Linked DNA regions of Oryctolagus cuniculus. The protein of the gene in region 1 binds, or shares a complex with, the protein of each later gene. Links are inferred from orthologs where the notes say so. Each region holds a gene or a part of one and is shown in the gene's direction. Other genes may lie near its edges. The genes, in order: XPO1, E3 SUMO-protein ligase RanBP2 and XPO5.

Region 1 (3,649 bases):
TTCTCCCTTTATCTGTCATTTGTTTTTCCATTGTTTCAATTGCCTGCTGTCAAACATGGCTGAAAATACTAAATGCAAAATACTTTGAAACATAATAACGGGCCAGTGTTGTGGTATAGTAGGTTAACCGTTACATGGGACACTGGTGTGCCATGTTAGCCCCTGGCCTCCTGGCTACTCTGCTTCTGATCCAGCTTCCTGCAGATGTGCCTAGGAAAGCAGGAAAAGATGGCCCAAGTACTTGGGCCCCTGCCACACAGGAGTTCCAGGCTCCTGGCTTTGACTTGGCCCAGCCCTGGCTGGGGCAGTCTTTTGGAGAGTGAACCAGCAGATTTCTGTCTTGCTGTAAATCTAAATTGCACATAATTCCGAGTTATGGGTTGAAATTTGTCCCTTGTCCCACCCAAGATAAGAATCATTCTTTCATTCAGCGTATCCACATTGTATGAGGATGAGCTGCTACTTACCCTTTAATCAGATTGTAGCTATCTAGAGTTTCAAATAGTCTTTTATGGTATTAGTGCTTACAGTGCAAGAGTAACCATGCTGGCAATTTGAATATGCCAAAGAGAAGCTGTTAGTGGTTGCAATAAGATATTGAGAGAAACTGCAATCATAACTTTTTAGTGCCTTATATTATTGTTAATCTGTATGTTTTTTGTATACTTAATATGTAAACTACATACTAATTGATACTTTATCACAAGTCTGTATATGGAAATAGGTAGAATATATAGGGGCTCAGTATTATTCATGGTTTCAGGCAACCACTAGGGATTGGAACATACCTCCTTTTGGGGAAGGGAGGAGCTACTCTATGTAATGCTATTTTGTTTGGAGAGTTTTCTTTCAAGTATGTGCATTAAAGAGAACAAAACTTGAGAAAACTTGAGAGATTATTGAAGGGATAAAATAAGAGTAAATGTGTCAAAAAACCAAACTCCTAAGAAATGAAGTTTTGTTTTTTTGTTTTTGTTTTTTTTTTTTTTGACAGTAGTCCTTTTAGGTGAGAATTAGAGAGTGCTTTTGGGTTTGTTTTTAAAGAATTATTTTTTGAATGGCAGAGTTACAGTCAGAGATGGAGAGAGAAAGAGAGAATGTCTAATAGCCATCCACCTGTTCATTTCCCAGATGGACACAACAGCCTGGACTGGGACAGGTGAAACCAGGACCTGGAATTCATTCAGGTCTCCCACATAGTGGCAGGTACCCAGCATCTTCTGCTGCCCTCTGTGGTGCATTAGCTGGGAGCTGGATTAGAACTGGAGTAGCTGGGACTTGACCAGTGGGATGCCAGTATTTCAGGCAGGAACCCAACCCGCTGTGCCAAAACTGGCCTTAGTGTTTGTAGTTTTAACAGCTTGCTTTTGATTGGTACTTTAAGTGTGTTGAAATTGAAGTCACTCAAGTTCTGACTGATGACAGGTCATTAAAATCATGAAATTTTTAATGATTTTATTAGTATATAAATGTGGTGTTTATTTGTCTTCTAAATTGGAACCTGTTATTCTTTTTTTAAGCATGTGCAATGAGTTCTCACAGATATTTCAGCTGTGTCAGTTTGTGATGGTAAGTGCTCTTAATTTGTTTTTTATTTCAAAACCAAGCCCTAAGAGGCTGTGTGCCTAGCTGCTGGGTCACTCCCCAAATGCTTGCAGCAGCTGAGGTTAGGGCAAGGCCAAAACCAGGAGCTGGGAAACTCAATCTGTGTCTTCTATTTGAGTGACAAGAAACCAGTTACTTCAGCCATCACTGCCGCCTCCCAGGATGTGCCTTAATTAGAAATTTAATGTATGGAACTGAAGTGCCTGCCCTTAGTTTCATTTTCAAAAATAAGTTATAGGAAAATAATATTTACAGATGTGTTTTTATTACAGGAAAATTCTCAAAATGCTCCACTTGTACATGCAACCTTGGAAACACTGCTCAGGTTTCTGAACTGGATTCCACTGGGATATATTTTTGAGACCAAGTTAATTAGCACATTAATTTATAAGGTAGTATGAATATATTTTGTTACTGCTTACTTGTATATATCCTTTTAAGTTGTAAAGATCTTTCTGCATAGCCAGTGTTTCTGAGGTGACAGTGCACAAAAGGAATGTTTCCATAATTATAGCTAGTAATTGAAATGAGTCAAATTCTGTGATTCTGCCACTTATATCCTATAATTTCATTTAATTTAAATGACAGACTTGATTATATTTAGTCACCTTTTCTGTTTTTCATTTATTTGAGAGGCTGGGAAAGAGACAAACTGCTCCCTTCTGTTGGGTCATTTCTCAGATTGCCCTCAAGGGCCTAGACTGGACCTCAGTTTAGGCATCCCACTTACTTGAAGCATTACCTGCTACTTCCCAGAAGCTGGGGAATCTTGGGAAGAGGCAGGACCTAAACCATGATACTCTTTAAAAAAAAAAAAAAGGAATGTTTGCATCCCAACAGTTCAGCCACTTAACCAGTCACCCCTTCACTCTCAGCTACATTCTTGTGTATATAGGATATTTATACTCATATCAAGCATTTCCTTCCAGTAAATTTGTTTAAAATGGAATTAGCAGGTCAATAGACATGTCCTTTTTTAAAAGATTTATTACTTGAAAAATAGGCAGAGTTACAGAGAAAAAGAGACATATCTCTTCTGTCTATTGGTTCATCCCCCAAATGGCCCTAACTGCAGGGACTGTTTCAAGCCAAAGCCAGCAGCCCAATATTCCGTACTAGTCTTGTACTGTTTTGCCAAATGCATAAACAGCTAGATTGGAAGCAGAGCAGGCAGGACTTGAATAGATACTCATGGCCCATATATGTCTATTTCTATCCCATTAAGTCTCAAGTTTTCAATTCTGCAACTATTTCTAGGACATATATTTAATTAAATGTTACTGTAAGTGGTATAGTTATTGTTCAATTTAAGTCTTTATAGGTGTCTTATGAATAGAATGTAATAGGCTAAGGCTTTTAATGCTTACCAAACTGCCACCCACTGATAGCTTTGCCACTTATATATTTTCTCCAAATTCATAGTATTCCTTAGATGATGGAATTTCCTTAAAATAATCTCTAAAATAAGGCATATCATTCACTTACCTATTTGACTGCTAACTTGTTTCTGATTGTTAAATCTTTTCCTTTCCTTAAAATGTTTATCTTAAGCATCATGTGCTTCAGCTATTTAATTTTATGTTTCTCTTTTTTAAAAATATAGTTCCTGAATGTTCCAATGTTTCGAAATGTCTCTCTGAAGTGCCTCACCGAGATTGCTGGTGTGAGTGTAAGCCAATATGAGGAACAATTTGTAACGCTATTTACACTGACAATGATGCAGCTAAAACAGGTAATAGTCTGCTATCTTGAAAATGGAACCATTTTTGTGCCTTAGAAAATGTTGGATTCAAGTTCAGATATTTTACCTCCATGTGTTACACATCAAGTGTATTGAGATATTGTGTTTTTATTTTTTTAAGATTTATTTATTTGAAAGAGTTCGAGAGAGAGAGAGAGAGGTCTTCCATCTGATGGTTCACTCCCCAGTTGGTTGCAGTGGCTGAAGCTGTGCCGATCCAAAGCCAGGAGCTTCCTCTGGGTCTCCCACACGGGTGCAGGTCCCAAGGACTTGGGCCATCTTCTACTGCAGTCCCAGGCCATA
Region 2 (3,649 bases), about 41 Mb from region 1:
AGTTTGAAAATCTTTAGTTATAGAACAGTGGGTTTTAACCCGTATCACATTTATACTTGCAGAAATTTATTTTGTTGTTCCTAGTTGGAATTGACTCAATAAAATCGGCAAAACTGAACCCACAAAAGTAAATATAAATAACCTTTACATTTTTTGAACAAGATTATTGTTTTAGGAAAATTGTCCTCTTTTTTTTTTAGCCTGGATCAGTGGTTGATGTTTCTCTTCAGGAACAGGGACTTCTTGAAACTTTTTGTTTACAATATAGGAAGCAATTTTTAAAATGCAAATGAATACTGTTTAAAAGAAAACTATTTAATAATAAATTTGCTCCCTCCTGCTTCAACCAAATCAGATGAATTTGTTGTGCCTGGATATTTACCAGTGAGCACATTATGATGTTAACGTCATTACAAAGAAAATGTCTTAAAGAATTTGAATATTTGAAACTTGTTATATGCAACAGCTTATAGGTAATTGCTTCTGCTAATCCAGGTAGAAGTAAAATCTGGAGAAGAAGATGAAGAAGTTGTGTTTAAAGAGAGAGCCAAACTTTACAGATGGGATCGTGATGCCAGCCAGTGGAAGGAGCGTGGTGTAGGAGACATAAAGATCCTTTGGCATAGGATGAAGAACTATTATCGGATCCTAATGAGGAGAGACCAGGTCTTCAAAGTGTGTGCAAACCATGTTATTACCAAAACAATGGAATTAAAACCCTTAAATGTTTCAAATAATGCTTTAGTTTGGACTGCTTCAGATTATGCTGGTGAGTTTCTATTTGGGAATGCTACTTTTCATTTTTGGTCTTTCCTGAACCCATAACAAACATGTTATTCAGTTGGTAGTGATTATTTTAATCTTAAAGGTATTCTCCATTTTTATCCCAATAGATGGAGAAGCAAAAGTGGAACAGCTTGCAGTGAGATTTAAAACAAAAGAAATGGCTGATTGTTTTAAGAAAAAGTTTGAAGAATGTCAACAGAATTTATTGCAACTCCAGAAAGGGCATGTTTCACTGGCAGAATTGTCAAGAGAGACCAACCCTGTGGTGTTTTTTGACATTTGTGCCGATGATGAACCTTTAGGGCGTATAACCATGGAGTTATTTTCAAACATCGTTCCTCAGACTGCTGAGAACTTCAGAGCACTGTGTACTGGAGAGAAGGGCTTTGGTTTCAAGAACTCCATTTTTCACAGAGTAATTCCAGATTGTCTTTGCCAAGTAAGTATGATTGTCCATCAGAATTGAAATCTAGAGAAGAGTGTGTGCTGCATAAACTCAGGAAGTTGAGTGTTCCTTCCTGATCTTATGCTGTAGTGTGAAAATTTCTGTAGATTGCCCACACATTAATTGGTTTTATCACCCTAATTCCTAGCTCTGCCAAAAAGTTTCAACCTAAATGGGTCTGAATTTTCTGTTAACTGGGGTGTAAGAGGGTGGGGAAGTGATGGACGTTTTAATTTCTTAATTGTCTTTCAAAAATACATATTTCTTAGTTTTCAAAGAGCTTTTTTGGGGGAGGGAGTGCAAAGATTTATTTCCTTGTTTAAAAGACAAAGTGAGAGAGACCTTCCATCTGTTGGTTCACTCCCCAGATGCCCAGAACAGTAGAGTTGGTCAATGCATGGGTGTCAGGGCTCAGATACTTGGGCCATCTTCTGCTTTCCCAGGTGCTGTAGCAGGAAGCTGGTTTGGAAATAGAGCTGCCTGGACTTGAACCAGCACTCCAATATGGGGTGCTGGGATTACAGGTGGCAGTTTAACCTACTGAGTCACAATGCTGGCCCCTTAAGTTGCATTCTTCAGGAAGCTGGTTGTTTAGGACTTAGCCTGCAGTGATGAATTCTGTGTGTAATTCAGTGTTTGACTGAGAATTCCTAGTAATTAAATTTTTCTTTCAGGGGGGAGATATCACCAAACATGATGGAACAGGAGGAAAGTCTATATATGGAGATAAATTTGAAGATGAAAATTTTGATGTGAAACACACTGGTCCTGGCTTGCTGTCAATGGCCAATAGGGGCCCAAATACCAATAATTCTCAATTTTTTATAACACTGGGAAAAGCAGAACATTTGGACTTCAAGCATGTAGTATTTGGGTTTGTTAAGGATGGCATGGATACTGTGAAAAAGATTGAGTCATTTGGTTCTCCTAAAGGGTCTGTTAGTCGAAGAATTAGCATCACAGAATGTGGACAGATATAAAATCATTGGGTTTTTTGTAGTAAATTTTATCTGTATAAGCAGTTGAATCAAAGCTTAGCTGTTACAATATGGTAATTATGTTCAGCTTTTGAAAATGGACGTTTCCAATGTATAAATGTACAATTGCAGCTCATAGCTGTTGTCACTTTTTAATGTGTTATAATTGACCTTGCATGGTGTGAAATAAAAGTTTAAACACTGGTGTATTTCAGGTGTACTTGTGTTTATGTACTCCTGATATATCTGTAATAAAATGGAATAGTAATAATAATCTTGTTAAAAGCAATATACCTTCACAGACTATTGAAGGGATTAAATATATGCAATTTAATTTTAATTCCTTTAAATATATGTGGACTTCCAGCATGGAAATACTTAACATTTGAGTAAGGGACCACAACTTGGATAATTTTATTTTGGATCTGAAATATATTTGGTAACCTTAACTGTTGGTGTGCTCATTTATGCATAGAGACTCATTTATGAATGGGTAGTGCCACAGAAGGTAGAGTTAACCAAAGTGCTCTTCTGTAATCTTACACCTCTTGTATAGTTTACAAATGAACTTTTAAGTAGAGTACCTTCTTTGCCTAAAATATATAGCTTCTGTGCCCTTTCAAAGGTGTTAAATTAATTTTTTACATTTTAAGCAAATTGACTATTTCCTTTTTTAAAAAAAGAAAACAAACTTTTTTGTCATCTGTCTCTACTACCTCAGCAATTTCAACTTGGTCCTGATGATAGAAATTGAATTTTTCCTTGCAGTTATTGTGATAAAGTATGAATATTTTTAAAGGTCTATACCATGTTCTTTGGTTAAAGATTTGCTTTATACTAGATTGTTGCAGTATCTTTTTCTGGTGACTTTTGTAGCAGAAATAAAGTGACAATTGACAACAGTCATGATATTTAAAAAGTTCATTACTTGTGCATCTAGTTGTCTGTTCATTCTAGTATTAGACTGAAGTACAGAGGGCAATTAAAGGTCAGTACTGTTAACTCAAGCTGCCGCGTAATTTCCAGAGCCCCCGAAGGAATACTTCCCAAGTTTGATACACTGAAATGCAGTTAAAAGTGGCTTGTGTCACAAGTTAGGCAAACTGCTTTAAAACATGTTCTTACTGGCAGACTTCACGTAGAACCACAAAGAACCCAGTCAGAGCAGAAAATTGTGTGTATTGTGATCATGAGTATTGACCGTCTTCCACCCTGTGTGCCTCTCAGTGAGACAGTTCCTTGTTCCCTGTGTGGTGACGTGGAAATGGGGCGTCATGCAGAGAATGCCATGCAGCCGATGGCAGGGATGCCACGCGTGATGTGTGTGAATAATGAATGATTGAATACCAGCACTAAATCAACTTGAAGCTGCCAGAAGTAACCCAGCCGCAACAGTTCAGGTGAATTACCTGAACCTTGAAGGGAACCGTGAACTGCATAC
Region 3 (3,649 bases), on another chromosome or scaffold:
CGTCCTCTTTATTCCCAGCCATCACCCCAGCCGGGTCTTGGCTAGGCTCAGCAATCCAGTGAGCATTCCTCAGTTGTGAAGGTAACCTAAGGATGGGTGTCACTTTGCTTTTCCAGAGCTCATGTCTGTCTGTCTTGGCCTTGGGTAGTCCTGGATCTTTTCTTTGGCACCACTACACTAAAATTCACATTGCAGACTCTAGTAAAAATAGAATTTCCAAGACCCATATTCCCATTAATACAGAAACAAGGTGTAGTTTTGCCACATTCTCCTACAACATTGCATTACTCAAATCAGAAACCCTTGGTTTAGAATTTTGTATTCCACGGAGCTGGTGCTGTGGCATAGTGGGTAAGGCCACCACCTGCAGTACCAGTGCCAGCATCCCATATGGGCTCTGGTTCGAGATCCGGCTGCTCCACTTCCAATCCAACTCTCTGCTATGGCCTGGGAAAACAATAGAAAATGGCCCAAGTCCTTGGGCCCATACACCCGCATGGGAAGACCCAGAGGAAGCTCCTGGCTCCTGGCTTCAGATGGGTACAGCTCTGGTCGTTGTGGCCATCTGGGGAGTGAACCAGCAGATGGAGGACCTCTCTCTCTCTTTCTCTCTCTCTGCCTCTCCTTCCCTCTCTGTGTAACTCTGACTTTCAAATACATAAATAAATCTTTAGAAAAAAAAAATTATGCGTCCTGGGGCTGGTGTTGAGGCACAGTAGGTTAAGCCACCACCTGCTACCTGTGACGCCAGCATCCCATGTGAGCAGCAGTTTGAGTCCCAGCTGCTGCATTTCTTTTTTTTTTTTTTTTCTTAAGATTTATTTATTTTTTATTTGAAAGGGTGAGAGAGATCTTCGGTCTATTGGTTCACCCCCCAAATGTCCTCGTGGCTGAAGCTGGGCTAGGCCAAAGCCGTGAGCCAGGAGTTTTTCCAGGTCTTCCACATGGGTACTGGGGCCTAGGACTTGGACAATCTTCTGTTTTCCCAGGCGCATTAGCAAGGAGCTGAATTGGAATTGGAGCAACCAGGACAGGAACCAGCACCCATATGGGATGCCAGCACTACAGGTGGCAGCTTTACCCAGTATGCCACAGCGCCAGCCCTTGCTCTACTTCTGATGCAGCTCTCTGCTAATGCACCTGGCAAAGCAGTGAAAGGTGGACCAAGTACGTGGGCCCTGCCACCCATGTGGGAGACCCAGATGGAGTTCTAGGCTCCTGGCTTCAGCCTAGCATACATACCTCTTGCCATTGGGACCATTTGGGGAGTGAAGCAGAGGATGGAAGATCTCTCTGGATTTCCCTGTAACTCTGCCTTTCAGATAAATAAATCTACATATATATAATGTTGCCAACTAGACAGACAAACTAGAATGTTTTGAGATCCTGACTTGTCTCTGTTTTACTTCCTGTTCCACCTGGAAAAAATATATATATTACATATAAATATATATGTAATCATGTCATGGCAAAAATGAGAGTGCTGAGACCTAGTGCAAAGTCCTTTCCCTACCAAGAGAGTGTAACAGGTCACCTTCGGGAAAGCTCCAGCACCTCCAGCTGGCAGACGATGCGGCCGTCTGCTTTGCAGTGGCAGCACCTGCACGCACACTCACATTCCCAGACCACACTGCGAGGCTCGTGGGAGCAGGGCGGCATGCTCCTGGCCCGTGTCTCTCTGCAGGATTGCCTCAGCCTCTCCTGGAACTCAATGACCACCCCGTCTACAAGACAGTTCTGGAAAGAATGCAGCGCTTCTTCAGCACTCTCTATGAAAACTGGTAAGGAGCCACCGCTGCCCCTCACGCCCTCTTCCCAGGTGGCTGCTGCCTGGGCGTGGCCACGAGTGGGGTGTGTGATCTCCAGTGCTAGTGGATGGGTAATGTGAGACAGGAAACTGATGATTTTAGGGACAAATCAAAATGCACAACGAGCTTCCCTGCATTTGCGTTTTGGTAATTATTTTATGAGCCTCACGGTCCTGGTCGTGACTGTTTCATTTCCTGGTTTTCTGTGTCTAGTGCACGAAGTGAGGGGACCCAGGTGGAAGACAAGAGTTGGTGAGGCTGCACTTGCTCAGACCCCTCACTGCTCACAGCCTCTCATGGGACAGTGAGTCAGCCGCTGGCCAGGAGTCTGTCTTCCGGTCCTGACTATGGGATGGGGACAGACCCGGCCCTCATGCATACCTCCGCAGAGCTTTGGCCTCACTAATCCCGTTCTCTATAAGCAGTCATGCCAGTGAGAGCCTCCTGTGTAAGAACACGTACAGCGTAACGAGGGCCGCTGTTGATTTTGGCTACAGACATTTGTCTAAAAAGAGGCTGAATCTGTACTTCCATGGAGTTTCCTTATTGGTACAGGGTAGGGGCAGGTATTTTCACTTCTGATTAAAGATTAGGCCCACATCTTTAAAGTTCAAGGGCTCTCAGGAAGCAAATACAATCGCTTTTCTGGCTGAAAACTCTTGGGGCAGTTAGGGATGGCAGTAGCAGATGCCGGATGTGTCACTGCCCCTGGTTTTCCCTTGCAGTTTCCATATCCTCGGGAAGGCAGGCCCTTCCATGCAGCAGGACTTCTACACCGTGGAGGACCTTGCTACCCAGCTCCTTAGCTCCGCCTTTGTCAACTTGAACAATATTCCTGACTACCGACTCAGACCCATGCTCCATATCCTTTGAAAAGTTCCTCGAGAACCTGAAAGGTCAGAGCAGAGGAAGGCAGAGGGCTGTGTCTTCAGTGTCGTGTTCTCATTAAAAAGCCTGGAAGTTTGAAGTAAATGGCAGGACAAATAAGTGTGATGGGATTGAGCTGCACGCAGCGGGATGGTTTCTCCCTGTGTAGCCAGGAAGTCCCTGGCGATCCTGCAGGCCTCTCGGGCTGACTGCCCCAGCTGGGTCCGTGTGCTGAAACACCTTAACCTGCCCCGCAGCACGGGTCTTTGTGAAGCCCCTGGTGCTCTTCTGTCCCCCGGAGCACTACGAAGCACTGGTGTCTCCCATCCTTGGACCTCTCTTCACCTACCTCCACATGGTAAGGGACAGGCCAGCAAAGGGGAGGCAAGAGCGCTCCACTGGCAGGTGGCCACTGCAAGTTTGGCGAGTGGGCTCCTCCCTGTGTTGTCTCTAGGCCCTGCCAGGCCAGCTGCACAGAGCTCCCACCCCAGCAGACCGTCAGCTCTGCAGTCGGTTGAGCAACCCCCAGAAAACTAGGCAATGTAATGGCCTGCAGAGCAGCTGGAGGCGCGGGGCCTGCTCTCGTCCCCTGTGATGGGTGACGGGCTCAGGACAGTGCTTCCCCTCCTGGAGTTAAGCAGGGGAACGAGCTGGGCGGTGAGCAGCTGTGGCCAGACACCAGGGATTCTGAGCGGTGTTGGTCCTTTTCAAGCAAAGTGCTGTTTGACCTGCTGCCCTCAGCGTGGGGGTGGGAGAGCTGACAGAAACTGTGTGCGGTGCTGCAATGTGGAGCCAAAGAGGCTCTGTTGTTGGTATCAGGAATCATTTGAAAATTTCCGTCACGATGTGGGCCTCAGGTCTTAGGAGTCCAGGTCTCTCCTCAATCCTAGCGCCTGCTTCCTTTGTTTTCCCAGAGGCTTTCCCAGAAGTGGCAAGTCATCAACCAGAGGAGCCTCTTGTGGTAAGGAAGACCC

Evidence for each region.
Region 2: the proteins of XPO1 (region 1) and E3 SUMO-protein ligase RanBP2 are in contact, whole or in part, in a cryo-EM structure (PDB 9B62), measured with the Homo sapiens proteins. The link is inferred for Oryctolagus cuniculus from reciprocal best matches to the Homo sapiens genes XPO1 and RANBP2. Residues at the interface, in NP_003391.1 of Homo sapiens: Trp60, Val63, Asp64, Leu83, Asn97, Gln98, Gly101, Ile102, Lys104, Tyr105, Val107, Gly108, Ile110, Ile111, Leu134, Phe149, Asp152, Ile153, Gly155, Ala156, Ser157, Arg158, Thr159, Ser160, Glu161, Leu163, Cys164, Asn167, Leu208, Phe211; in NP_006258.3 of Homo sapiens: Val2508, Val2509, Ser2510, Pro2511, Pro2512, Lys2513, Phe2514, Val2515, Phe2516, Gly2841, Phe2842, Gly2843, Ser2845, Thr2846, Gly2847, Leu2848, Ser2849, Phe2850, Ala2851, Leu2853, Ala2854, Asn2857, Ser2858, Gly2859, Asp2860, Phe2861, Ala2862, Phe2863, Gly2864, Ser2865.
Region 3: XPO1 (region 1) and XPO5 share a complex: the UniProt entries of both Homo sapiens proteins name them as parts of the nuclear export receptor complex. The link is inferred for Oryctolagus cuniculus from reciprocal best matches to the Homo sapiens genes XPO1 and XPO5.

Annotation. Positions count from the first base shown.
Region 1 is NC_091433.1:141,245,659-141,249,307, forward strand, and holds part of XPO1 (exportin-1), read left to right. Parts: intron 1-1,520; coding exon 1,521-1,569; intron 1,570-1,877; coding exon 1,878-1,997; intron 1,998-3,208; coding exon 3,209-3,337; intron 3,338-3,649. UniProt on the Homo sapiens protein: Mediates the nuclear export of cellular proteins (cargos) bearing a leucine-rich nuclear export signal (NES) and of RNAs.
Region 2 is NC_091433.1:100,042,635-100,046,283, reverse strand, and holds the end of E3 SUMO-protein ligase RanBP2, read left to right. Parts: intron 1-495; coding exon 496-769; intron 770-893; coding exon 894-1,225; intron 1,226-1,905; coding exon 1,906-2,211; 3' UTR 2,212-3,127; downstream 3,128-3,649. UniProt on the Homo sapiens protein: E3 SUMO-protein ligase which facilitates SUMO1 and SUMO2 conjugation by UBE2I. Involved in transport factor (Ran-GTP, karyopherin)-mediated protein import via the F-G repeat-containing domain which acts as a docking site for substrates.
Region 3 is NC_091436.1:126,538,275-126,541,923, forward strand, and holds part of XPO5 (exportin-5), read left to right. Parts: intron 1-1,684; coding exon 1,685-1,781; intron 1,782-2,533; coding exon 2,534-2,669; coding exon of another isoform or gene 2,670-2,670; intron 2,671-2,934; coding exon 2,935-3,033; intron 3,034-3,589; coding exon 3,590-3,636; intron 3,637-3,649. UniProt on the Homo sapiens protein: Mediates the nuclear export of proteins bearing a double-stranded RNA binding domain (dsRBD) and double-stranded RNAs (cargos). XPO5 in the nucleus binds cooperatively to the RNA and to the GTPase Ran in its active GTP-bound form.